7 linked regions of the Cricetulus griseus genome follow. The protein of the gene in region 3 interacts with the protein of the main gene of each other region in a biochemical or structural test. Links are inferred from orthologs where the notes say so. Each region holds a gene or a part of one and is shown on either strand. Other genes may lie near its edges.

The links.
Region 1: of the proteins of serine-protein kinase ATM (region 3) and Rbbp8, one has a biochemical effect on the other in vitro, tested with the Homo sapiens proteins (4 studies listed by BioGRID, with this or other methods). The link is inferred for Cricetulus griseus from reciprocal best matches to the Homo sapiens genes ATM and RBBP8.
Region 2: the proteins of serine-protein kinase ATM (region 3) and Smc1a form a complex in vitro, tested with the Homo sapiens proteins (2 studies listed by BioGRID and IntAct, with this or other methods). The link is inferred for Cricetulus griseus from reciprocal best matches to the Homo sapiens genes ATM and SMC1A.
Region 4: of the proteins of serine-protein kinase ATM (region 3) and Atr, one has a biochemical effect on the other in vitro, tested with the Homo sapiens proteins (2 studies listed by BioGRID, with this or other methods). The link is inferred for Cricetulus griseus from reciprocal best matches to the Homo sapiens genes ATM and ATR.
Region 5: of the proteins of serine-protein kinase ATM (region 3) and Eif4ebp1, one has a biochemical effect on the other in vitro, tested with the Homo sapiens proteins (2 studies listed by BioGRID, with this or other methods). The link is inferred for Cricetulus griseus from reciprocal best matches to the Homo sapiens genes ATM and EIF4EBP1.
Region 6: of the proteins of serine-protein kinase ATM (region 3) and Chek2, one has a biochemical effect on the other in vitro, tested with the Homo sapiens proteins (6 studies listed by BioGRID, with this or other methods). The link is inferred for Cricetulus griseus from reciprocal best matches to the Homo sapiens genes ATM and CHEK2.
Region 7: the proteins of serine-protein kinase ATM (region 3) and Mdc1 form a complex in vitro, tested with the Homo sapiens proteins (2 studies listed by BioGRID, with this or other methods). The link is inferred for Cricetulus griseus from reciprocal best matches to the Homo sapiens genes ATM and MDC1.

Annotation. Positions count from the first base shown.
Region 1 is NC_048595.1:224,645,685-224,649,184, reverse strand, and holds part of Rbbp8 (DNA endonuclease RBBP8), read left to right. Parts: intron 1-41; coding exon 42-168; intron 169-2,065; coding exon 2,066-2,154; intron 2,155-3,500. UniProt on the Homo sapiens protein: Endonuclease that cooperates with the MRE11-RAD50-NBN (MRN) complex in DNA-end resection, the first step of double-strand break (DSB) repair through the homologous recombination (HR) pathway.
Region 2 is NC_048604.1:107,465,894-107,469,393, forward strand, and holds part of Smc1a (structural maintenance of chromosomes protein 1A), read right to left. Parts: intron 2,997-3,500; coding exon 2,811-2,996; intron 2,726-2,810; coding exon 2,546-2,725; intron 2,449-2,545; coding exon 2,302-2,448; intron 2,211-2,301; coding exon 2,073-2,210; intron 1,031-2,072; coding exon 914-1,030; intron 809-913; coding exon 702-808; intron 1-701. UniProt on the Homo sapiens protein: Involved in chromosome cohesion during cell cycle and in DNA repair. Central component of cohesin complex. The cohesin complex is required for the cohesion of sister chromatids after DNA replication.
Region 3 is NC_048597.1:165,151,163-165,154,620, forward strand, and holds part of serine-protein kinase ATM, read right to left. Parts: intron 2,604-3,458; coding exon 2,540-2,603; intron 962-2,539; coding exon 825-961; intron 721-824; coding exon 537-720; 3' UTR 1-536.
Region 4 is NC_048597.1:204,588,643-204,592,142, reverse strand, and holds the end of Atr (serine/threonine-protein kinase ATR), read right to left. Parts: intron 2,228-3,500; coding exon 2,122-2,227; intron 552-2,121; coding exon 378-551; downstream 1-377. UniProt on the Homo sapiens protein: Serine/threonine protein kinase which activates checkpoint signaling upon genotoxic stresses such as ionizing radiation (IR), ultraviolet light (UV), or DNA replication stalling, thereby acting as a DNA damage sensor.
Region 5 is NW_023276807.1:56,590,486-56,594,639, forward strand, and holds the start of Eif4ebp1 (eukaryotic translation initiation factor 4E-binding protein 1), read right to left. Parts: upstream 2,801-4,154; 5' UTR 2,736-2,800; coding exon 2,594-2,735; intron 1-2,593. UniProt on the Homo sapiens protein: Repressor of translation initiation that regulates EIF4E activity by preventing its assembly into the eIF4F complex: hypophosphorylated form competes with EIF4G1/EIF4G3 and strongly binds to EIF4E, leading to repress translation.
Region 6 is NC_048597.1:90,646,719-90,650,218, reverse strand, and holds part of Chek2 (serine/threonine-protein kinase Chk2), read right to left. Parts: intron 1,333-3,500; coding exon 1,246-1,332; intron 208-1,245; coding exon 44-207; intron 1-43. UniProt on the Homo sapiens protein: Serine/threonine-protein kinase which is required for checkpoint-mediated cell cycle arrest, activation of DNA repair and apoptosis in response to the presence of DNA double-strand breaks.
Region 7 is NW_023276806.1:229,747,714-229,751,785, reverse strand, and holds the start of Mdc1 (mediator of DNA damage checkpoint protein 1), read right to left. Parts: upstream 2,801-4,072; 5' UTR 2,798-2,800; coding exon 2,662-2,797; intron 1,254-2,661; coding exon 873-1,253; intron 788-872; coding exon 712-787; intron 317-711; coding exon 1-316. UniProt on the Homo sapiens protein: Histone reader protein required for checkpoint-mediated cell cycle arrest in response to DNA damage within both the S phase and G2/M phases of the cell cycle.

The sequences.
Region 1 (3,500 bases), on a different chromosome or scaffold from region 3:
TTTGTGATTTCATTTAAGTGCTAATAATTGTTTCCGTTTAGGATACTGGTTCTCTTGTGCCAACAAAAGGAAAAAGCAGACCAGTCCATGGAGGATGTGAGCTTGCATCAGTTCTTCAGTTAAATCCCTGTAGAGTTGCTAAAACAAAGTCCCTGCCAAACAACCAAGGTGTGTGCATTATTAACAGGCTCTCTCTTTTTAATTGGGTGGCATTTACATTCCTTACACAAAAATTGGGGGGGGATCTTTTTTTTTCCTGCATATATCTGTGTTTTATAGCATTATTCTTACCACTTTCATTTTACCTTGGATTTTTCTGTTCCTAAGCTTTTTTTTTTTTTTTTTTTTTTTTAGTTTTTCGAGACAGGGTTTCTCTGTGGCTTTGGAGGCTGTCCTGGAACTAGCTCTGTAGACCAGGCTGGTCTCGAACTCACAGAGATCCACCTGCCTCTGCCTCCCGAGTGCTGGGATTTGTTCCTAAGCTTTTTAAAAATTTATTTTAAATACTTTAGATGATGTTGTGGATTTAGTTACTTAGTTATTTCTTGCTTCCTTTGCAAAAGCTTTAAAAGTATTTTAACTATTCCATTGGGGTTTGTTTGTTTGTTTGTCTGTTTGTCTGTTTGTTTGTTTGTTTGTTTGGGAATAAAGACATGCACCACCTACCTGTTGCTTCATGTTCTTAAACTACAGTTTGCAGTTGTCATGTGTTATACCTACATATAATACATTGAAAATCCAAATTTTAGAATTTTAGCTTTTAAAGAATTACTTCAGTGAAATACAAATCACTTGTTATGAAAATGTCCATACTTAAAGAGTTGTACAGTCTAAGTTATGATAAACTTCCATGATACTTCCATGCCTTTTCATCCTTCCCAATTCTAGTTATCAATAGCCTAATTTTTATCTCTCAGATTGAATACTGTAGATATTTTAGGTGAATAGAGACCTACTCAGTGTGAAATCTTGTAACTTCTTTTCTTTGGCACAATGTTTTCTTTTAACGTTATTTTACCATTATTGTATATGTGGTGTGTTTCTGTGAGTGTGGATGTGTACATGCCACAGCATATGTAGTTAGAGGACAGCTTGTGCAGTATTCTCTCTTTGAACTTTTACACTGGTTCCAAGGGTCAAACTCAGGTAATCATGCTTGCACAGGCAAGCACCTTTACCTGCTGAGCCATCTCCCTAGCACTGGTGGTGTTTTCAGTTCCTAGCCATATTATATTATGTATCAGTATTCCATCCCTATGTATTGCTAAATAAAATTTCATTATATACAGTCATGTTTTGATCAGTTAATACAAATTTACTGTCATTGTTACCTTTATGAATAATACAATGAACATTTGTGTACAGATTTTTCTGAAAATGGATGTTTACTTTTTCTTTTTTCCCAGTTCCCAGTGTTCTGGTACTGAAATTGTTGGCCCTCATATCAGCTCTTACTTTGACCATTTAAGGGACTTCTTATTTCCCAGAGCAGCTATGCTATTTCACATTAGCATGACTGTGTGAAGCGTTCATCCTTTCCAAGTCAATATCTGTATACACACTTTAGCCTAGTCATCCTAGTCTGTGTGAATGATCTCATTGTTGTCTTTCATTTTTCTGATTGCTGGTTATATTGGTCACTTTCTCATAATGTTAGTGGCAAGTTGAACTGCTGGTGAGATTCTTTGCCCACTTTGAATTGGGTTTTGTTTTTGTTTTTTAAGATTTTTAAATTTTTATGTATATGTAAGTTTTGCCTGTATGTAAATTTGCACCATGTGCCTCGTGCCTACAGAGGTCAGAAGGGAGTATCAGATCCCCTGGCTGGGTTATAAACAGTTAAGAGCCATCATGTGGATGCCAAGAACCAAACCCAAGTCATCTGCTAGAGTAGTTAGTGTGTTCAACTGCTGAGATACTTATTTCTTCAGCTTCCTGAGATATATGTATTTGAATATGTGCTATAGAAATTTTTTATATTCATGTTCTGTGGGTCCCTTTCATTTTAAAGTGAAACAAATTTTCAAATTGGCATTTTAATTTGTGGTTCTCCTTTTTTCCCAAGATGTGCCCTTTGACAATATCCAGTGGAGTGTAGACCCGGGAGCCGATCTTTCTCAGTATAAAATGGATGTTACTGTAATAGATACAAAGGTAAGTTACAAAATTGGACTAAAGCCCACTTGTTTGTTACTCTAGTGAGTTATCAGTCTCCTCTCCTTGAAATACTTCTTTACACATTTCATTTATTGTGTATGTGTGCATGTCTGCATCAGTGCACACCATATGCACGTTACATTATACATGCAGAGGCCAAGCACAACCCTCAGGATTTGGTCTTCTCCGTTTACCATGTACGTCCTGCAGATCAAACCCAGGTTGTCAGGCTTGTACTGAGTCATCTTGTTAGCCCAAGACAGCAACTTCTTAACACTCGCATATGTTCTCTCAGGAAACAGAAATAATACCTGTCCTTCTAACACAATGATAATATTGAAAGGTTAATATTTTCTGGTTTTTAAAGACCTTTGATATAAGGCATTAATGTTGGTTTTTAAATAACAAAGAACTATAGGTACATATTCCATGTGACTTTACTTTTATCAAAAATCACCAATCACATGTTCTAAATTTTTTAGATAGGATCTCATTATACAAACCAGACTGGTCTCAGACTTAACTGTGCTCATGCTTTCACCTCATGGGTGCTGGGAGTGTAGGTGTGTATCACCATGCCTGTAATTCCTTTATGTGTTTAGCCTTAATTTTTAAATTTTTATATTATGTATATGAGTTTTGCCTACATGTATGTTTGTGCACTATGTCTGTCTGAAATTGCCTGCAGAAGTCAGAAGATGGTGTCAGATCCCCTGTAATTGGAGTTACAAATGGTGTGAGTCACCATATGAGTGCTGGGAATTGAACCTGGTACCTCTGCAAAAGCAGCAAGTACTTTTAATTTTAACTACCAGGTCATCTCTCTAGCCACCTTAATTAGCATAGAGAGAGAGGAAGGGAGGGAGAGGGGAGGAGAGAAGGAGGAGAGGGAAAGATATGCTGTCAAGGAATTTTTTTTCCAGTTTTCTATTTTAAGAAGTAACATTTTTGTGGTGTGTGTGTGTGTGTGTGTGTTCGTTCGTTCATTATTCATTCATTCATTCATTCATTCATTCATTCATTCAAGACAGAGTTTCTCTGTGTAGCCTTGGCTGTCCTGGCACTCACTCTGTAGACCAGGCTGGCCTCCAACTCACAGAGACCCACCTGCCTCTGTCTCCCGAGTGCTGGGATTAAAGGCGTGTGCCACTACACCCAGTTTTGATGTTTTGTTTTGTTTAATTTGTACTGGAAATATGATTTTGCTTTATGTTTACATTCCATATAGTTTGTGAAATTCTCCTACTTGGTGGCACATTAAGAAATGATGTAGTTTATTAAAATAACATGTAGCTATGAAGAAACCAAGTTTTATAGTTAAAGTTGTTTTCCATGTGCACTAA
Region 2 (3,500 bases), on a different chromosome or scaffold from region 3:
ACCTTAAAAAAAAACAAAGGTAAATACAGTATAATATAATAACATAATATAGAATAGAATATACAAAAAATGAGGGAGAGGGGCTTGCTTCTTTTCTGGTTACTTCTCCAGCCTGGAACTTCTTTTCATTCCTAACCTCCAATACACAAGGATAATAGCAAAACAAAAGATAATGTTTATTGTTCTTTGTAGATGCTATTTATTATGCTGAATAATTCACAAAGATTATTTCATCTAGGGGCTGGAGAGATGGCTCAGAGGTTAAGAGCACTGGCTGCTCTTCCAAAAGTCCTGAGTTCAATTCCCAACAACCGCATGGTGGCTCACAACCATCTGTACTGAGATCTGGTGCCCTCTTCTGGCCTGCAGGCATACATGCAGACAGAACACTGTGTATGTAATAAAATATATAAAATAAATCTAAAAAAAAGATTATTTCATCTAATCCTCCCCCCAATGCCACAAGATAGGCACCACTGTCTCAAGGTAATGATTTTAATCTGGGTAAACCAGATTTAAAGCTAGCACTTTTACCCACTATCCTGACATATTATCTACCTGATTTCACTGTTCTTTCTGGCCTCCCTACAATAAGTTTGTATGCTTCTAAGAATTGGTCACTGCCCTAGGACACACATGACTCTCGAGGATGTCAGGCTGTAGGCATGCATCCCGGTATCTTATAACAATCTTTCACTTACCGCTTCTTGGCAATTTCATTCTGCCGCTTCACCTTTTCTTCCTCAAATTCTCGGATGTTGCGCACACCAATCTCCCGACAAAACTCCTCAAACACCTCATCTTCCACCTGAGGGAAAAGTCAGGAAGGGCAGAGGCATTATTAATTGAAGTCCTACTTCTAAACCTAGTCTTGTCCTAATAAACATGCTGGCATGGTCCACCCTCTACCAACCTGGTTCATCTTCTCCTTCAAGTCTTTCATTTCCCTTTCTCGGCTCTGGATGATTCTCTTGATATCATTAATGCGAGGCCCGAAGTTGGCTAGCTCACTCTCCAGCTTAGACTTCTCCTACAGACAACAGGTTGAAAGACAAGAGATTAGAATCTGTGGAGGAAAAGAACTTCCTTGCCAGTACCAGCCCCATGGTCAGCAACCACTGAGAAAGCCTGACTTAGCATCAATACCCCAGTCAAGTTCTAAAACCTTTAATCCTTAAGGCTGGGCACACAGTAAACATCATTAGTTGTAGGTCCACAATCCTGTATTGATAACCCCTAGGTCAAATATAGTTTACAAGTTGGACTGTTTTTTTCAGAAGAAGGTGACTCTAGGTATTACGTAATACCTCTAGCTTGGGTAAACTGGGAAAATGTAGAATTACCAAAGAACATACTAATATACCCCAACCCATAGACACTGAAATTCTTCTAATTCACTGTTTTTGTTTGTTTCCCTTGAGATGTGATCCCACTACATAGCTCAGAGTGGCCCTGAATTCTCTAATCTTCCACATCAGCCTCCAGTGTACTGGGACCATAGGCATATGCCACTACACTGGCCCTGTTGCTCACTCTCAATTAACTTTTTTTGTTTGTTTGTTTTTCTAGATAAGGTTTCTCTGTAGCTTCAGAGCCTGTCCTGGAACTGACTCTGTAGACCTGGCTGGCCTTGGACTCACAGAGGTTTGCCTCCCTCTGCCTCCTGAGTGCTGGGATTAAAAGCATGTGCCACCACCGCCCAGCTCAATTGACTTTCAGAAGTTCCAATATTTATTGAATGAACTGCATTAATAATAGCACCTAACATTTACTGAGTGCCTACCGTTCTAAGAACATTATAGATATTAACGAATTCCATCTTTGCACTAATCATACAAAACAGACAATAATTTCCATTTGGTAGATGAAGATGAGAAAATTGACAAAGAACTTAAATAAGTTGCTTAATGGAATAAATAGAGATGACAGAAGATCTGGATGCCCCCACCCCATCCCAGTGTCTGACTCTCTGCTCTTCTATCTTGAACAGAACGGAAGGAAAGTGGATAATTCCCCATCCTCAGTGCAACCTAGGATGGCCTTGGAGAACAGGGATGAAGACCAAGCCCTACCTGGAGGTTCAGGGCAAGATGCCTTGTCTTGGTCTGTTCTAAGTCACTCTGTGAGTACTTCAGCCTCATTTGTAGCCCATGGGCCTGAGACTGCACCTGACGTAGTTCGGCCTCTTTCCGTTTCGCCTTCATCTGCTCCTAAAGAGGACAAGAAAAAAGGGCCATGTGGTAAGTGGCCAACCTGAGCTTAGGAACCTACTCCGAAGGATCACTGTTACTTGTCACTTACTTTCAGCTCCTCTGTCAAGCGTTCTTTCTTTTCTTTCAGTTTGTCTACTGCTTTCTCATCCCAGCGCCGTGCCTTTGCCTTGAGATCACTGGCTCCACCAGAGATAACTCCTGACTTCTGGAAAAGGGTTCCATCCAGTGCCACTGTCTATACACACCAGAGAGAGGAGGCGGGGGAGATGGTGAAAATAGAAATCTCCAGTACTATACCTGTCCAGCTCCAACCTGGGAAAAGAGGGCCATACCTTGTGGCGTTGGTGACCTCCAAAGGCAATGCGTCGGGCATCCTCCACATTGTCACAAACAAGGGCATTGCCACAAGCATATTGCAGAGCTTTTTTGATGTGAGGTGGTTCATATCGAATCACATCAATTACCAGCTTGGCCCCCTTCAGCTCCCGGAGCTTCTCATCTGTAGGTTTTACCTATGTGAAGAATCTTATTAATATAAAGCCAAGGTGAGGGGTCCCTCAGCACTGCCTTAACTTAACTGCCCCCCATAAGCCTTACCTCCAGGTAGTCAAGTGGCAGGAAGGTCTCAGGCTCTCCACGTTGCTCCTTAATATACTGAATACAATCCCGACCTGTCTTCTCTGAGTCTACAATAATAGCATCCATGTTCTTTCCTAAAACCTTAGTCACAGCAATCTGATACTTCTTTTGTGTAGGCTGGCAGAGGTCAATCAGGCGGCCATACTGAGTAAAGAAGGGAAAACATAAGGCTTAGGAATCCCAATTACTAGTTCACAAAGAAGGGCAAGATAAAAATCGGTGTAAGGAACAATGAATGCATCTATGTTGCTTATTTGTGAAGTCAGTCCTCTATTTTTGCACCTGTATAATACCACTAAAATGGGAATGAATTAGGGGAGGCCCTTGTTAAACTTGTATGGCTAGAAGCAATTTAGACCAGTACAGTGATCAATTCTAATGTTCCTTCCAAAAACAGAAGTTTGATTAAAGGAGGATTAAGGACTGAATAAACATGTTACATGATGGAAGACCCAATTAACACCTCAGAAGCAGCTCAGAGAAAGAAATCACATTGTCTCTAGAATCAATTATACTGGAGGTTTAAAAGGTGAAGCTACAGGTTTCCTAAGACTGCTTTTGGATTCAGACAAGATTAACTGAAAGGCCACAAGCCTTAACAGCCTCACCTAGAAGACATTTTTGAATGATACAATAGTTAACTTTTCT
Region 3 (3,458 bases):
ATGCACACACAATGACTGTCTGGGAACTCTCTTTTTTCTTTTTTTTTTTTCTGAGTCAGGTCTTCTCTGTATTGCTTTGCACTGTGTAGACCAGGCTGGCCTTGAACTCACAGAGATCCTCCTGCCTCTGCCTCCCGAGTGCTGGGGCTAAAGGTGTACACCACCAGTGCCCAGCTCTTGGGAACATATTTTAACTGAAAACTTCTTAGAGTAGAAGTTATGAACTTGTCCTAATGCACACCAAAAGTAAAGCTCACTTTGCTGCTCCCGCTGTTTACAGTTCATTGTGTACCTTGGTGATCCTACTGAAAACAGTACAAGCATGACCTTAAGGGTCAACATTTACCCTAGGAGAAGATCTTGAGTAACTATTACTTCTAACATATGAGAGCAGAAATGCCAATTTTTGGGTGGTGATGAATCAAGTAGAAAACTGGTTCAAATGCAGTCATTAACTTAAATAATTCCTATCCAAATATGGTGGCTGAGATGTAATTTTTGAAGTCTGAATTTAAGGGTAATTCCTGTGCTGAAGGTCACACCCAAGCTTTCCATCCTGGGAAAAGTCGGCTGAGATTTTTGGGATCCATGGCCTGCTGGATAAGCAAGTTCACCTGTCCACCCACACTGAGCACAGTGCCTTCTTCCACGCCTTTCAATTTCTCTTGCAACCGCATCAAGACACGTTCAGCTACTTTGTTGAAACTCTGATCAATATCACTAAGGACAAAAAACATGAAGATTACAATGAGGTACAACAGCTAAGGGCTTGGGAATAACAAAATCTAAGTAACTAACAATAGGTCCCTCCTAAAATCTCCCACCTAAGACTTCGTTTGCATTCCTGATCTTCCGCATTGGGGGTAGAATGGAGATCTGTCTCATCTTCTGGCCTCTGCTGCAAATACAAAGCTTTTAAAGGATTCATAGTCCAGTCAAAGAGTGGATCATACAAAAGGACCTAGAAAGAAAAAAAAAAAACAACGATGTGCTCTTTGATTATGTAGTTAAAAACAATAGCCACCACATCATAAAATAATACTAATCACAAGTAGCTGGTGGAGGGAGTCAAGTTATATACATGTGCAGAGGAAAGCTATTTTAAGGATAAGCTCCAAGGTTCTCAACCCACCCCAAGTTCACTCTTCCCCCAGGGTTGGGTGTCAGGCTGGATGACACTGACTTAGTTGGAGGAGGTTGTCACCGTGGCTTTTACTCCCTTCTCTCCCAAGGTCTATTTCACGTGACTCTTAAGTCATGTTCCGTAATGGAGTTTTAGCATCATCAAAACTAACATTTTGACTACCAACCTACTACCCACTACAGTGGCTCTTTTTCTATTAATTAGCTCCCAAGCTGGGTGGCTTTAACAAAAGGATGTAATTTATTTAACAGTCAACTTCCCTGCGTGCATTTCTTGTTTTTATTTTTGTTTTTTAATTAGGCCTAGATAGTCTTAGTAGTAAGTGGAATAGTTGGTTATAGAGGCAAATGATTCAGCAGGCCAGGCAACGCCCGGCCAGCATCACAGGACTAGAATCCTTTCTGATTGTCACCTTTACTGGGTTTCTGCAGCATCTACATGCTGCGACGGTAAAATGTCTTTAGCATATTTTAACTGTAGGACATGTACTAGATCAGCAGTATAAAAAGCTTTTCATTTTGTAATGTGGCTTTGAGGTCCTCCAGGGCCACTGATAAACCACTGAGGGACTGACTTTGAAAGGAGTGACCTCAGAATTGGGAAGTCCAAAGACACTATTGGGAAGCACTGCCCTAGAGCAGGAGATAGCAATGGAGAATGGGAAACTATTCTTCAGTATTAGGAAAACTACAGCAAATGACTCTCAGAAATTTGGACTGATTTACCAGGGGCAACACAGAACTTCATGTGTCTTTGCAGGATAGGTATGTTCCAAAATGATAAGGTATTATAAGTGAAGATAGAATCATTTCTCAGATGCAATACTGTCACTTAGACCACGATGGCAAACTGTTAACTGAATCTTCTAAAGGACATAGTTCTACCCTTATTATCACAGTCTTAAGAGTACCAGTGAAATACAAATGACTCTCAACCCTACCTGAACAGGAGGAGTGATTTACAAAATATACATGCTCCTATGCTATGTATTTACATGGGTTCTGGGGTTCCAAACGCAGGCCCTCATGTTGGGAGAGACCCTGGATACCTGTACCCTCAGAGTCTTTTTCCCTACACCCTCATGCTTGTGTGGCAAGCACTTTACCAACTGAGTTATCTCCTCAGGCTGAAGAGGGATGTCTAAGATGTCAAAGTGCTCATTTATTTATTAAAAACTGTAGATTACTGAACAATGCTATAATATTCCAAGAAACATGAGGGGCCTAGAACCATTTCTAACCCCAAATTCTGTGATGTAAGAAAATGCCCACTGTGCCCCTTTCTGTTGCCCCAGCACCACTCTACATAAAAAGCAGCAATGTTCCTCAAATGAGTGCTTCCTAACAAGGCAGGCTGACTGGCAAAGGAATCCAGATGTCCTTATGCATACTTTACCTCTACAATGGTTAGCAGAGTTTCCTGAGAACTGCGCATAACTTCCATGGTTTTCTCACAGCATCTGCAAAGTGAAATACATTACAAACATGGATTTTGTAGCACACCAATATTTCAATCCATCTTTGCCTACATGCACTCATGCATACATACTTACATGATTCTTGAAATAAAATTTTGGTAATTGATAGCAAAGAGCAGACCAGTTGGCAAAGACAGCATTTAAGAGATGTTCCAGAAATTAATATAAATGTATACAAACATATGTGTATATATTTCACAAGCCCAGCACTTACTAAAAAAGACACTACTGTTATGAAATACTTTGTCTTGATTGATTACTGAGGAAAGTATGAATTTACTTTTATAAGCTGAGATTATGGACCTTTATTGGGAAATCTACAAGAAACAGCAAAATCTTTGGCTTGGAGTTATACTGGAACATGGTTCTTTCTGATAGAATTATCATCTCTTGATCCTATCAGGTCCCTACCCTTGGAGTTCAGGGAACCTCATTGAAGAACAAGAGGAATAATTGTAGGAGCCAGAGCGATAGAGGACACCGGGAGAACATGGACCACAGAATCAACTACATGGGTTTCATAGGGGCTCACAGAGATTGAAGTGGCAATCAAGGAGCCTGCATGGGTCCATGACAGGTCTTCTACATACATGTTAGCTTGGTGTTTTTGTGGGACACTTGACATTGGTTGTGGGATGTCTCTCTTTTGTCTGCTCTTGGGAGCCTTTTCCTCCTACTGGGTTGCTTCGTTCAGCCCTGATATGAGGGTTTGTACCCATTCTTACTGCATCTTGTTATGCCATGTTTGGCTGATATCCCTGGGAGGTTTGCTCTTTTCTGAAGGGAGAGTGGATCTAGGGGAGGGGGGGAGAGAAGGTAAGGGGTGCCTGGGAGAAG
Region 4 (3,500 bases), about 39 Mb from region 3:
CTATAAAATGAAATTAGGTTGGCTGGTTCCTTGTTTTTTGATCATTAGAATACAATATTCTATTTCTCAATTTGTAATATGCAAGTATGCACTAAGAAAGCCGTGTTTAAAAATCAAATGCATTTCTCTGTGAGTGCAAGCCCAGCCTGGTCTACAAATCAAGTTCCAGGACAACCAGGGCTACACAAAGAAACCCTGGCTTGAAAAAAAAAAAAAGCCAAAATAAAAAAAAATTGAATTCATTATTTTAAATGCAATCAAATACTAGTTTCTCTGAGAACATAAGTAAACGTATGTTGCACTTTAGATTTAAAGACATACCACTGATTAACACATGAATTTTAGATTATTAATATAGTCTTTGAAATAATTTTATTTTACATATATGGGGTCCAACCAAGGTACATCTGACATAGTAAGTTTTCATCAGTAGCTTCTTGTATGAGGTAATGCACATGTCCTTCAATAGATAATGGCAATCCTGTTACTCTATTTCGGGTCTTGATTACACCTTGCAGTCGTTGTTCAATGTCAAGAACATGGGTCTTGGCCTAAAAAGATATAGAAAATTGTTAAGGCTACAGACCCAATAACAGGTAATGTTGGTAATTTGGAGTGTCTACTTTTCTCACTACTTATTAATGTTAGTGCTGTTTTACTAAACAATATCCCATTTGTGGCAATAAAACAAATCCAGTTAACTTGAGATGCTGATTTTGATGTTTACAATGGCTAGCATCTACTAATGGGACATGTTTCTCTACAATAAAAATCACCAGGTAACTTTGTACATCCCAATTCCAGAAAGGTAATAATTTAAAATATATGTTTTGAGGGCTAGTGGGTAGCTCAGTGGTGGAATGTGTGTTTGTTTAGTAGACAAGAGACCAGGAGTTCTATTCCTTTCCATTATCAGAAACAAAATAAAGCAAACAAAAATCAAATGTTAGTTCTTAAGAAGATTCTAAAGATGGTGTCATGGGAGAGGTCCTTCTGTGTATATGTTTGTCTTATTGGTTGATAAATAAAGCACTGTTGGCCAATAGGTAAGCAAGTTAGGTGGGACTATGAGAGGAGGATTCTGGGAAATGGGAAAGGGAGAGAGTCACCATGTGATCCCAGGAAGAGAGGACGCATAAGGCCAGTGTCCTCGGTAAGGTAAGTCCTTATAAAAAAATACAGATTAGTATTTATGGATGATAATTAAGACTGAGCTAGCAAATAAGAGATCCTAGTCATTGGACAGCAACACTGTAACTAATATAAGACTCTTGTGTGTTATTTGGGGGCCCTAAGGCGGCGGCAGAACCCAGGCAGCTGTAGGAGTTATCCTTACAATGGTGGCAATGTTTTAATGGCTGATAAATTTACTTAAAATTCCATTTGCATGCACTAATGTAAATTTATTAAACTATTTAGAATTCTTTACAGCTTCTTAAGAAAAAGCACACCTGAAGCAAAATTGAGAATGATATTATTAGAAAAATAATTTTCAGAATGAGAATGAAGCCTGGTGGTGTTGAAATAATTAGTGCATGAACTTAGCATACACAAGGCCTTGGGTTGAACCCAGCATCAAAGTGGGGGTGGAGGAGAAAAGGATTCCTCAATGTATTTTTGTCAACTCTGAGGTTATAACTAATTTTAGATTTCAGAGTCATCAATTGTGAAAAATCCTTTTGTACACTGTAAAGATTTGTCACTGTAATTGGTTTAGTAAACAAGCTGATTAGCTACTAGCTAACAGGATAAAGTTAGGCAGGAAAGCCAAACTAAGAATGATGGAATAAAGAAGGGCAGAGTCAGAGGAGTTGCCAGGAAGATCAGAAGGAGCAGGAGATGAACGTGCCATGCTAATAAAGAAACCACCACGTGGCAGAGTGTAAATAAGGAATACGGGTTAATTTAAATGTAAGAGGTAGCTAGTAACAAGCCTAAGCTATTGTCTGAGCATTTATAATTCATATTCAGCCTCTGAGTTGGTTATTTGGGACCAGGCAGTCAGGACAGGAAATGCCCATTTACAATAAATATTTAACTTGCCAACAGTAATATTTGGAATCAGATCTCATTTAAAGAGAAAGAAATTTTAGCTTATGCCAAACTGTAGCTTTTACTAACCTTTTCATTGACAACTTCCCCAGTTTCATTCAGTGGTGCTTTGGAATGTCCTTTCACTGGTTTACTCCATTCCACAAGAGGATCATGCAGAAAAGTCTTTAAGACACTAAAATTGAAACAGATATAATAATGATAAATTCTTTACCTTTGCAAAAAGAAATCTTACTAAAATCAATATTTAAAAGTAGAATAAAGGAGGATTAGAAAGATAAAGTAATATCACAAGTTCTAGGACTATAGTACATTTTAAGATAGTTTATGTGAAATTATTTTGGGGGTGTTGAGGGAGCAGGGGTAAGGGGAAAATAAAGAGGTAGGGTAAGGGAGAGTCAGGTGTTTTGGGGGGAGTATGACGAATTCTGTGTGACATCTCAAGATCTATACTGTTACTTGATAAATGGGTGTTTATTTAAACTCATATTCTACCATGTTCAAGGAATATACAATACCTTCAGTTACCATACAGATGAAGCCACACCTTTCTTTTGAGCTCTAGACATCAACTCCAACTACCTGTAGGAAACCTGTTTAGATGTATTACAGATATCTTAAACTATCTTAAAAACAAAAGTCATTGTCTTTTCCTAATTCTTTCTGTATTCCTACAGCAGTAACAAACATCATTTGCAGTCTTTTCCTGAATGAAAAATAAGCTATCATCCTTACCTCTTGTTCATCTGTCATGCAGTTTACATCCTAAACCAGTACGGAATCTCCCTACTTACTCCATCTCTACTACTGCTACATCATTCAGTTAGAGTCTGGAACTCTGATTTTTCTACAATGCAGAATGGATGCTTTCATTTCCTCTTCCTCTACTTCTTTAAAAGAATTTTTTTCTTAAAATTCACTAACCTTTTACTTCTCAGAACACTTTTCTCCTGTGCTTGGTTAACTAAGATTTCAGCAACTTCAAAAGGTATTTCTTGGGGGCTGGAGAGATGGCTCAGAGGTTAAGAACACTAACTGCTCTTCCAAGGGTCCCGAGTTGAATTCCCAGCAACCACATAGTGGCTCACAACCATCCGTTATGAGATCTGGTGCCCTCTTCTGGTGTGCAGATATACATGGAAGTAGAATGATGTATACATAATAAATAAATAAAATCTTTTTTAAAAAAAGGTATTTCTTGACTTTACTAGAAAAAAGTGTGCTGTGTGTAGGCTCTCTTAATGACTCTACTATGATTTCCTCTGAGCAAAATATTCCTTTGCCCATGTTTAATAGTATTCTCCCATAATGTTTAAGTTCTTTAAAATTATGCTTTTCTGTGGTGGGAGTTGGGGGGAGAACTCAATCCATAAGATGCTTGCTGTACAAGTCTCAAGACCTGAATTCAGATCTCTAGCACCCATGTAAAAGGTTCGGAGCAGCAGTAC
Region 5 (4,154 bases), on a different chromosome or scaffold from region 3:
CACTAATAGGTACGGGCACCCCAACAACTTCGTCAGAGGTCAAACATCCATCCTGGGCCTTTACTAGAAGATTCTGTTTATGGGACTGCTGACCATCTTAAAGACCCACATAGGACACTCCCCTCAGAAACGTCTTAGGTTCTCAGAATACCTAACTGGGTGGGCCAGCAAAGGGATAATGACCACAGGAATGGAGGAGGCTCAGGCCACCTGCTGTGTCCTGGCATTCTGGCCTCCCTCATGGCCTCCCCAAGACAACTGCTTCAAAGCCATCTCAGCTGAAGGGACTTAAGGCAATATTCCTTCATGAAAAGCTCACAGCCCCTAAGGGTCAATCACAAGCCAAGATGTACAGAAAAGCCTAAGTTCAGGAAATGCCAGCCTGACTTCATGCCTGGATGGAATCTACTTTGCCAGACTCCCAAAGACCTGAAAAGGCAAATAACACATGTATGGATGTCGCTTGTCCCTTTCACCTGGAAATCCTGTAAAATGGTTAGGCAATATCTCAGTCCTGCTTCAAGCTTATTGGCTATATACTCCTATAGATCCTGAGGACATAGCAAATCTCAAGGATATTAACATGGCCTTTGTCTCCCAGCCAGCCCTTGATATATGTAGAAAAATTCAAAAGTTAGATGGATTTCCAAGGAAGTACAGGTCAGAGCCATTAGAAACAGCCCAAAAGGTATGTAACAGTAAGGAAAGCCTGGATGGCCAGATGTGGTGGTGCACACCTTTAGTCCCAGAACTAGGAAGGCAGAGGCAAGTGGATCTTCATGCAACCCTGGCTGTCCTGGAACTCACTCTGTAGACCTTTGTACTCCAACTCCGTATTTAATTGGGGGTCTAAGTAATGAGAAACTCTGAAGCAAATGGGTCAAGCTTCTCCACTTTGGCAGAGAAGCCCTGGAAGGAATAGCCCTTGAAGAAGATCCAACTGTTTAGCTAAAGAACAGGCTTGTTGGCTTTGGCAGAAATGAGATAGACTCTCCTCAAGCTATGGGCTGTGTACCCCACAAAAAAAAAAAAAAAAAAAAAAAAAACACCCTGACAAAGGGCCAGTGGCTTTGGGACATCATGATTTGCCAACTTTGACACTTCCCAGTCCATAGTGTGAAGTGGATCTTCATACAAACAGTACTGTCCATCCGAAAAAAAAAAAAAAAAAAGGGGGGGGGGGCAAAAAGGGTTTCCCTGAGCCTTTAAGCCTGCCTCAGTGCCTGTACATAAAAAAAAAAAAAAAAAAAAAAAGATTCACGCCTCACCTGTAAGGACTCAACTGTCTGCCAAGTTTGTGCTTAAACACAAAGTTCTGTAACAAGACAAAGAAAGGGTGCAAGAGTGTGAACTAGAAGAGGCCAGGAAAGTTCTGAGAACTCCAGGAAAGGGAGACCAGAAGCCTGCAGAGTTTTCCCTGGGCCATTTCTAATGAAAGGGAGAATGCCTTCCCCGCTCTACCTGTTTGCTAGGAACACATCGTGACAATGCATAACAGACACGCGCTCAAAAAGGGGGGGGGGTTGTTCTGAAGACCAAGAGGCACAAACTGGACACTCATCTACAAGATCCCTTCAACGGCGCCTTGGTTCTGGGGTCTGGCTGTGTTCCCTGGTATAGGAACAGCTGCTTGAGAAAAAAGGCATGTGGCCTGGACGCGCCTGCAGTAGCCCAAGGTTCAGCGCAGCGCCAGGAACTCTCCTGTTTTTTTGAGTTGTAAGAGGAGAAGCTTGGGGGAGGAGATCAGGGAAGGGAGAAGCGCAAAATGGGTGGGAGCAGCTCGAGAATGGGAGGGAAGTAGTGAGCCACGAGCATTTCATCATGCAAACGGGCGTGTAGGTTTCATCAGCGCCTATACTGGGGCTCGGGGCAAGCTGGGAATGCCTAGTTCCTGGAGCCCGGCCCCGTCCCGCGCCAACTCAGCTTCCTCTTCCTCATCCTCCGCCACTTGGGCGAATTCAGCGTTGTGCCCTCCCCCCAGACCCGAGGAACGTGTTGTTCTGCACAGCCATGGACGCAGCGCCAGGCCCCTGTCTGGAGATCTCACTCTCTAAATCGGCTTCATGCCACAGGTGGCCGAGACGTGCTCCTGGGGCAGAGAGCACCCTCAACGCCCAGCCTTCATCAATAAGCGAGTGTCCCAACGCAAAACGAGGGTTGCCCGGGGAAGGTTAAAAAGTGTGCAGGCGTCCTTTATTCCAAGAGAGATCAACTAAACTTAATCTCCAGGCCTGGCCCTTCCCCTGCTCCACCCAGACCCCCATCCTGACCCACCCTAGAACTGTCGTGACACCCAGAGAGGCCTCACTTGAGCACATGGTAATCATGGCAGAGTGCCTATCTGTGTGCTTGGGGCACTCCGCGGTCTCTCCCAGGAAAAAGCGCGCAGTTTGCAGACGGGCCCCCAGACCACGCTCCACCACACCCAGCAGGCGGGCAACCGAGACGGTTACCCTCCAGCCTTCCTGACGCCCCTATCCGTTCTGTCCAGCTATGGAACCCTTGAGCGCCGCCACCCCCGTCGCACGTGCGACTCCGGATCCCGGGGTGCCCTCCTGCCCTGGAGGTCGCCCCAACCCCGGCCCGCGCCTACCTCCTGGGGTGGTGCTGAAGAGTGTGCCGCCCGGGGTGGTGCTATAGTCCCCGGGCGGGAGCTGCACGCCGTCGCCGAGGGCTACCCGGCGAGTGGGGATGGCCCGGCTGGGAGTCTGGCTGCAGCTGCTACCCCCAGACATGTCTCCTACGTGCCGCCCACGACCCTCCAGCAGCCCCGCGGCACCTCGGCCCAGCCCTTCTCCAGCCCGGCCCGCCCCTTCCGCCTGGGCTCCACGCCCCCTGAGACTTGAGGTCCGCCCGGCCCCACCCAGCTCCAGCCCGCTGCATGCAAGTTGTTCCCAGCTGCTGACCTAGCGGCTTCTGCCCTCTCCAGTGCGGGAACCCCAGTGTTGGCCCCTTAGGTTCCGGGGTCCCTCCCCGACGCACTGAGAAGAGCTATATAGGGGTGACGTTGGAAAAGCTCTCCGATTTGGTGACCGCGTTTTCGGCGCACTAGACGGCCTGCTTTCTATATTAGGATGTGATCTCTCGATCCCCAGCTGTTCCTACTAGAAGAAAGTAAGGGTGGGCTGATCCTTCGCCCATCTTAACGCTTCTTTCGTTTCCACTGTGCTGTAGGAGTCAGAGCAGTGGCTGAACAATGCGCATCCCTGGCCTTGAAAGGAGTGGTGGACTAAGAGGGAACTAGCCAGCCAGCTGGAAACTGACTGTAAATCTGATGTGGCAAGATCGGACCTCTGTAGAGGATGGGCTGGTCAAAGACGTTTCCCCAACAGTCCTCAAATTGTAGTCTATTCCAACACTTTGGTAGGGAGGGGAGGGGAGTGGCAAGGAGGACCGTCATGTCTAATAGGATAGAGAATCTATCAATCTCCATGTGGTAGGGAATGCCTGTAATTTCAGAACTGGGGAGGCTGAAGCCCTAGAAGGATCATGAGTTACAGGATAGCCCAGGCTTCTTAGTGGGACTACATCTCCACAAAGCAAAGCAAGCAATCAATAACAACCACAAACAGCAGAAAACTGAAGTTCAGAAAAGGACAGGGTTTTGCACAAGATCACACAGCTGACGAATAAATGCCTGAGGTCATACTGTTGAATGTATGCCAACCTTCGCTGGAGTCCAGGCTAGCCTGTCTCTCTCCACACTTGAGAACATACCGGGTCACCTTCCTCCCTTTGGGAGAAGCATTTTGAAAGGAGTTTTGCTTTTGACTTGTTTGGTTGCAATGGAGGCCCTAGATTTCCCAGAACTAAGATTCCAGGGAGGGCCTGCTTACAAAGCTCAACACTCAAGCTAGGTATGGTGCCACACACTTGTCCCAGCACTTGGGAGGCTGAGGCAAGAGGATCAAGGCTTCTAGCCTATGATACACAACAAGACCCTGTTTCAAAGAAAACAAGAAAGCTAGAACTGGGCTGTAGCTCACATAGTTCTAATACTGAAGAATCTGAGACAAGATAAATACCACAAAGTTGAGGCCAGGCATGGTTACAGTGAGTTTGAGGTACAGCCTGGGCCAGACAATGTGAGACCTTATCTCAAAAAGTGAGAGAAAGAAAGGGGGGACTTGGAATGCAGCCTAGTTGGTAGACAA
Region 6 (3,500 bases), about 75 Mb from region 3:
ACCTCATCCAACCAGATTGTGAAGCAAAGAAAATGTTTCCTACCAGATGAAAAGAATAACTCCTAAGCTCCAGCAGTCCACAGCACGGCTGTACCCAGCAGTCCCATTGGAGACAAGGACCTCAGGTGCCAGGTATGTGGGCGTACCACATAAAGTTCTCATCAGGGAAGTCTCCCCCAAAATCTTAGACTGTCCAAAATCAGTGATCTAAAATTATAAATGGAACAAATGAAATTCAAACATAATCATAGTCAATCATTCCCAAGAGCCATGGAAACTGGATTACCTATTATACAGACACTCTCCATTAACCCAAAGTGTATAATTTCATGTCTTTGCAAAGCATTTAATTTTGCTTAAAAGAAAATCCCTGGGCCTAAGAACCTGAGAACCAAAGTTTTTTCCAATTTACCTGTCAGGAGCCAGCCCTGGTTAGACATAAAAAAGTCCTCCTTTACAAGAAGCCTGGCGACCTCCATGCTAAACCGCCAATTAGTCAAGCACCCCACCCCTTAGGTTCCGGGACACCTGCCCTGGCCTGAGAGCAATTAACATCCATTCCTCCTCCACTTCCTCTTTCTTTACTTCCTTCTCTTTAAAAACTCCTTGTTTATAATCAATAAAATTAGACCTTGACAAGGACACTGCTTGGTCTGGCTTCTCTTTCTCGCCCATTTATTTTCATGCTTAGTCCACCTCAGACACACAAATTACCGGACCCACGAGCCGGGACAGGTTTACCTATCATCATTATAAACTTATAAAAACTGCATAACCCCTGACACAAACACATTAGGACTCTAATACTAACACATATTTCTTAAACCCAAGACTCTTAAATTTGACTACACCATGGAACATCAGAAAAGCTTAAGGGGCAGGGGCACCTGTTGTCACCCTCATGTTTTATGTCTTGGGGTCTTCTTGTTGGGTTTTGTATTGTTATTTTAACGGGAGATTCTAAAGTGAGGCTAGGCTGAGAAGGAAAGGTGGGATCTATGGCTCACTGGTCCATTGAGACTCTTTCCTCCCTCGGCACATAAAAGCAGCTTGCATACACTGGCACTCAGTAAGTGCTCAACAGATGGGTGGAATACTTTGTGATCTCAGCAGTAACTGTTAAGTATGGATAGTTCATATTCTCAACCTTTTGATAGTCCTATTTTTTTTTTATGTAAGAGATTAAAAGACAGTTTTGAACAGAAATATGCAGCAGTAGCAACAGAAAGGATGAAAAGTTTTCACCTTGATAAGGCAGTCCTCTTCTTGAGATGACAAGAGAACATTTTCTGGCTTTAAGTCCCGGTGTATAATCCCATTTTCATGAAGGTACTGTACAAAAAGAGAGGCAGGGCCATTGATTTATACCACACACACATGAGGACAGTTACCAACACCTAACTCCTAGCCTGAGTTAAGTATTATGTGTCAACTCATAGGACTCAGTGGTTAAGAACACTAGCTGCTCTTCCAGAGGCCCTGAGTTCAATTCCCAGAAACCACATGGTGGCTCACAACAATCTACAATGAGATCTGGTGCCCTCTTCTGGCCTGCAGTGATACATGCAGACAGAACGCTGTATAAATAAATAAATTAAAAAAAAAAAAAAAAAAAAAAAAGTCAGCTCACTCCTTAAAGTCAGCACTGGACCAGGGCTTTAGACAGGGTTTCTCTGTGTAGCCCTGGCTGGCCTTGAACTCAGAGGTCCACCTCCTGCGTGCTGGGATTAAAGGTATACACCACTAGACCCAGCACCAGAAAATCGTTAAAAAGGATAACCTTAACCTCTAATCCCAGCAGAGGGAGGCAAAGGCAGACGGATCTCTGTGAGTTCAAGACCAGCTTGGTCTACAAGAGCTAGTTCCAGGATAGCCTCCAAAGCCACAGAGAAATCCTGTCTCAAAAAAAAAAAAAAAAAAAAAAAAAAAAAAAAAAAAAAGCATAACCTTGCATTTCACAATGCCAGAAAACAAAAAATCCCCTCACTCTAAGAGACATGCAAGTTGTTTATTTCCATAAAAATTTAAATGAATGATAACATTTCATAGGAATTCCATCAAAATAATATATTTTGTTATGCTCAGCAGGTAAAGGCACTTGCCACCAAGCCTGACAACTATATATTTATGATTTACTAAAGCTTTCCCGAAAGCAGAAAGCAAAGCAACCTCAAACTATAGAGATCAGGCAGTGGTGATACACACCTTTAATCCCAGGACTTAGGAGACAAAGACAGATGGATATCTGAGTCCAAGACCATACAGGGCTACCAGAGTGAATCAGGGTTCACACCTTTAATCCCAGTATTTGAGAGATATAAAAGGCAGAGGCATTCAGTCTGAGAGTTAGTCTCTAGCCAAACTGAGAAGAGCAGTTTGAGTGAATCTGAGGAGCAATTAAATTGGGAGCAGTCTGAGGATCGCCCCTTTGGTCTGAGGTAGAGGAAAAAGCTAGTGTCTGGCTGCTTTGCTTCTCTGATCATCAGACTGACACTTGAACCCCAATATCAGTCTCTGGGTCTTTTATTTATCATGCTACAGACAACCTCAATCCCCAGAACCCACATGATGAAATGAAAGCAAACTTCTGCAAGTTGCCTGTAACCTACACACACATACACATACACACACACACACTACAGAGATTTTTTTTTTTTTTTTTGAAAATGTGAAACGTGAAGCGTATCTCAGGAGCAAGGCACTTGCATAGCACAAGGCAGGCACTGGCTTTAAGATCCCTATACAAAAAAAAAAAAAAAAGCAGAAACACCATGAAAGCTAGAGATACAGCTGCTCAGTGATACAGTACTTGCCTAGCATGAACTAGGCTCAACCTCCAACACTGTAAAGGTTAAAAATAACAAGTGAATAGTCTATTAATCTATTCCTAGGTGCAAAAGTTGACTACCATTTTGTTTTTTGTTTTTTGTTTTTAGTTATCTTGTTGGAAATGGAGTATAAAAATGAAAACAAACAAAATATCAATTCAGGTCATACTTCTTTTAAGAATAAAAAAAGAAAAAGCCGGACGTTGGTGGCACCCTTTAATCCCAGCACTCGGGAGGCAGAGGCAGATGGAGCTCTGTGAGTTCAAGGCCAGCCTGGTCTCCAGAGCGAGTGCCAGGATAGGTTCCAAAGCTACACAGAGAAACCCTGTCTGGGGTGGGGGGAGGGGAGTCCTACATCAACTGATCTTCGCACAATTCATCTTGTTGTTGGCCAGTATACTAGGAAAATGAATAAACTAATGAGGTATCAAGCCTGCACAGATCACAGCCATCATGAAAACTGAACTGTGAGGCTAAGCAGGGTGGTGCATGCCTGTAATCTAAGCCTTGGGAGGTGACAGCAAAAAGATCAGTTCAAAGCTAGGCTTAGCTACAGAGGGTCAGCCTATGCTATGTGAGACCCTATCTCAAAAGGGGTGGGGGTGGGAGATGCTGGAGAGATGGCTCAGAGATTAAGAATACTAGTAGTCCTTCCAGAGGTCCTGAGTCCAA
Region 7 (4,072 bases), on a different chromosome or scaffold from region 3:
TTCACCCATTTCCGTGTTGCTGTCCTTACCCACAGTGGAGCCCCTCCCAACCACAGCCGCTCCATTGCCAGCCTCACTCTTGACTTTTGCATCTCTGAGCTTTTGCTCAGCAGGCTGAGCCAGTACCAGCTGGATACCAGATGTCACTCCATTAGCTTCCAGCTGCTTGGCCTCTGCAGCAGCACCATCCCTGGCAACTGAAGAGGACTCCCCAACTGCTGGCTGTGGACATAGCTCTTCATCTGTGTCACTGCCCAAGTCAAAGGGCAAAGACGGCCCACGGACACTTTGGGCTGGAGAAGACCCCTCTTCATCACTGCAAAGACAGAGAGCCCACAGAATGTACTCCCTGGATAGGCCACCCCACTCCGCTGTGAGGGCCCTGAGAGTGAGCAGGCACTGCTGCCAGGTGTCTTCCCATCCCCACTGAGCACACCACAAGTACTCTTCATAATTTAATTCAGCTGAGGAAGTAATTATGCCTAGGCTCTCGGCTCCACCTGTCAAGATAATCACCTCATTTATTCAAGACCGACTCTTTATTCAAAGGCCGAGGTGTCTAAAACCAGTTAAGGAAGCTCAACCCTATCGTCCCAATCCTGATACTGAACCCAGAGGTCTGCCAGGAGTCTAAGACCAGCTTGGGCTACAGAGACTGTTTAAAAACAAAACAAAACAAAAGATCCAGGCATCTGGTACTTTGCTACTCACCTTTCTGGTACTACTGTTGCTGATGGAGACGTTGGATTCCTTGATCCATTTGCCACATACCTTCCAGAAGGAAAATCTGGCAAGAACAGGAAGAAATAAATTGACAGTTTACACCCTCATTCCTGTCTCTTCACACACATACACCCAAGGCACAAACTTACCTACTTCCTCCTCCGAATCCTCAGCCAACAAAACTCTGGAGGTTTGGGACCCTCCCTGTATTCTGGGGGTCTTCTCTATAGTTAGAAGTCCCCGAGAGACCAAAGGTGGAGGGACATCCAAGCGACGGTACTGGCAGGGAAAGTCTGCAAACAGAATTAATTCCTGGTCCTTCAGACGATGGCTCACTCCAGGGGTTAGGACCTTTGGGGGCTTTACCAGTTGAGTGCCATTGAGGCTCCCACAATCCTGGAGGATAGGGGCTTTGTTGCAAGCTGAGATTTCAATTACTGCATGCTGTTTAGAGATGGATGGAAAAGGCAGGGCCACAGAGCAGTCGGGGCTTCGGCCAATTACATTCTTGCCAAGGTAGAGTGGGAAATCTAAGGATCAAGAAGAAACATTAAGTTGGGCGTTGGTGGCACACACCTTTAATCCCAGCCCTCGGGAGGCAGAGGCAGGTGGATCTATGTGAGTTCGAGACCAGCCTGGTCTACAAGAGCTAATTCCAGGACAGCCTCCAAAGCCACAGAGAAATCCTGTCTTAAAAAAAAAAAAAAAAAAAAAAAAAAAAAAAGAAGAAGAAACATTAAAGAGTAAGGGCAGAGTCCTGGCCTGAATGAAGATGGTACCTACTGCTCACTCAAAGCTCTCACAGGGTTAAGAACAATGGGCACACCAGCGTAGAAGAGCATTCACAATACATCACTTTGCTGTAATATTCTATCTACTCACCTCATCGGTATTGTTCCAACAGATCCGAAAACAGTTTCATGCATGCTAGCTAAGCACTCTTTCCCTGAGCTACTGCCCTTGCTTTGTTTTTGATCCAGGGTCTCACTATGTAACCCAGATTGTTTTCGGACTTGCTATGTGGCCTAGGTTATCCTCAACCTCACCTCCTGAGTACAGGGATCACAGACATGCACCACCATGCCCAAAGGGAGTTTCTTATTGTAATAAAATACACAATATAGGCTGGGCATATTAGCACATGACTTTAGTTCTAGCATTTGAAAGGCAGAGGCAGGTAGGTTTCTGTGAGTTTGAGGCCAGTCTGCATAGTGAGTTCCAGGACAGCAAGGGCTACATATATACTCTGTCTCGAAGAAAAACAATACACACAATATAAATCTAACCATCGCAATCATTGTAAGTATACTGCTCAGTTGTGTTACATATCCATTTCTAGGCCACAATGTATTTTACCTTTTAAAAATTTTATGCCCTTTAGTGATGGCACACACCTTTAATCCCAGCACTCAGGAGGAGGCAGTGGCAGGCAGATCGCTCTGAGTTCTAGGACAGTCTGAGCTAGACAGAGAAACCCTGTCTCAAAATAAATAAATTTTTTATTTACTCATTATTTATGTATATGTGTGCACCTGCATGAGTTTATGTCCACCATATATGTTCAGGTACCCAAGGTCAGAAGAGAGCATCAGATCCCCTGGAACCAGAGCTACAGGTGGTTTTGACCACCATGTGGGTGCTGCAAACCTAAACCAGGTCCTCTTCAAGAGCAGTAAGCACTCTTAGTCCCTGAACCATCTCTTCAGCTCCCACATTCTATTTTTATTCGGAGCTCTTCATTTTCTCCTAACAAAAGAAAAACACTCCCAGAAAGTACAGGGTACCCGCCTGGAACAGTCAACTCAGGTGGCCTCTTTGTCATCCCTAGTACAACAATTATTATCCTCTTAGAAACATACATAAGGTTTACCAATGATCCAACTGCCTCTAAGGAGAAGACAAGACCCAATACTCATTCAGCTCCCAATATCTCCTGACCTCTTTCTGGTCCATGAGTACTACTGAAGAGACGCAGCTGCCCTATAGGCTCCAAGCTATACCCCAAGGACCCACTGGGTATTTCTGTCTCCTCCTCCTCTTCAGCATCCCAGTCAATAACCTGGGTGTTTTCCATGACCTGTGAGGGAAACACATTATCATTGTTCTGGTCATTGGTTTACACACACTTGTAGAGAAAAAATAACGAGATAACCCTGGAGGAACGTGGAGTGACGTGGGGGTGATTCCTGCCTGCCTTTCCTTCCTTCCTTCCTTCTTTCTTCCCAGACAGGGTTTCTCTGCTGTCCTGGAACTCACTCTGTAGACAAGGCTGGCCTCAAATTGACAGAGATCCACCTGTGTCTGCCTCTTGAGTGCTGGGATTAAAGGTGTGCGCCACCATGAGGTGATGCTTTTCTGTCATTCTGAAGCATGTAAAAATATTGGGGTGGGGCATGGATAGTAAGAATGTCAGTGACAGAATGTTTGGCTAGCCTATGTGAGGCCATATGTTCAACACTTAGTACTATCAATGGGAAAAAAACAACTTTTTTGGGGGCCAGCCAGTGGTGACACACACCTTTAACCCCAGCATTTGGGAGGCAGAGAGAGGCAGATCTCTGAGTTCAAGGCCAGCCTGTTCTACATAGTGAGTTCCAGGGCAGCCAGGGCTACACAGAGAAACCCTGTCTAAAAACAACACACACACACACACACACACACAAAACTTTTGATTAAAAGATGTTGGCATATATCTGTAACTCCAGCACCTGAAATCCCAAGGCAGGAATATTAAGAGTTGGAGACCTGGCCAGGCATGGTGGGTGACACACGCCTTTGATTATAGCACTTGGGAGGCAGGAGTCAGTTCAAGGCCAGCCTGGTGTATGTAGTCTGTTCCAAGCCAGCCAGAGCTACTAGTTAGACCCTGTCTCAAAAGAGTGGGGTATAGAAACCACCCTTGGTTACAGTAAGACCTTGCTCCCCAAAACAAAACAAAAATATTATGTATGTGTATATTTATACTTTTGGTCATGACAAAGAATTAAGGTCCAAGTATACCATTATATATACATTATATACAAAGGAATGTTACATGGGATTTTAGGTACTGGAAACTAAACCTAGGGCTCACACATGGCAAATGCTCTACCACTGAGCTATATCTCCAGCCCCAAAATGGGTACTTTTATTTAAAGTATATAAAAGCATGATAAACTGGATCGAGGTAGTGTATGTCCACAGTTCCAGCTGCTGAAGGAAGCTGAAGCAGTGCAATTGCTTGAGTCCAGGAGTTCCAGGTAAGCTGGGACAACATATTAGGACCTCTTTATAAAAAATAATAATAAAATTGCCTGGCCTTGGTGGTGCATGCCTTTAATCCCAGCACTCAGGAGGCAGAGGCAGGCGG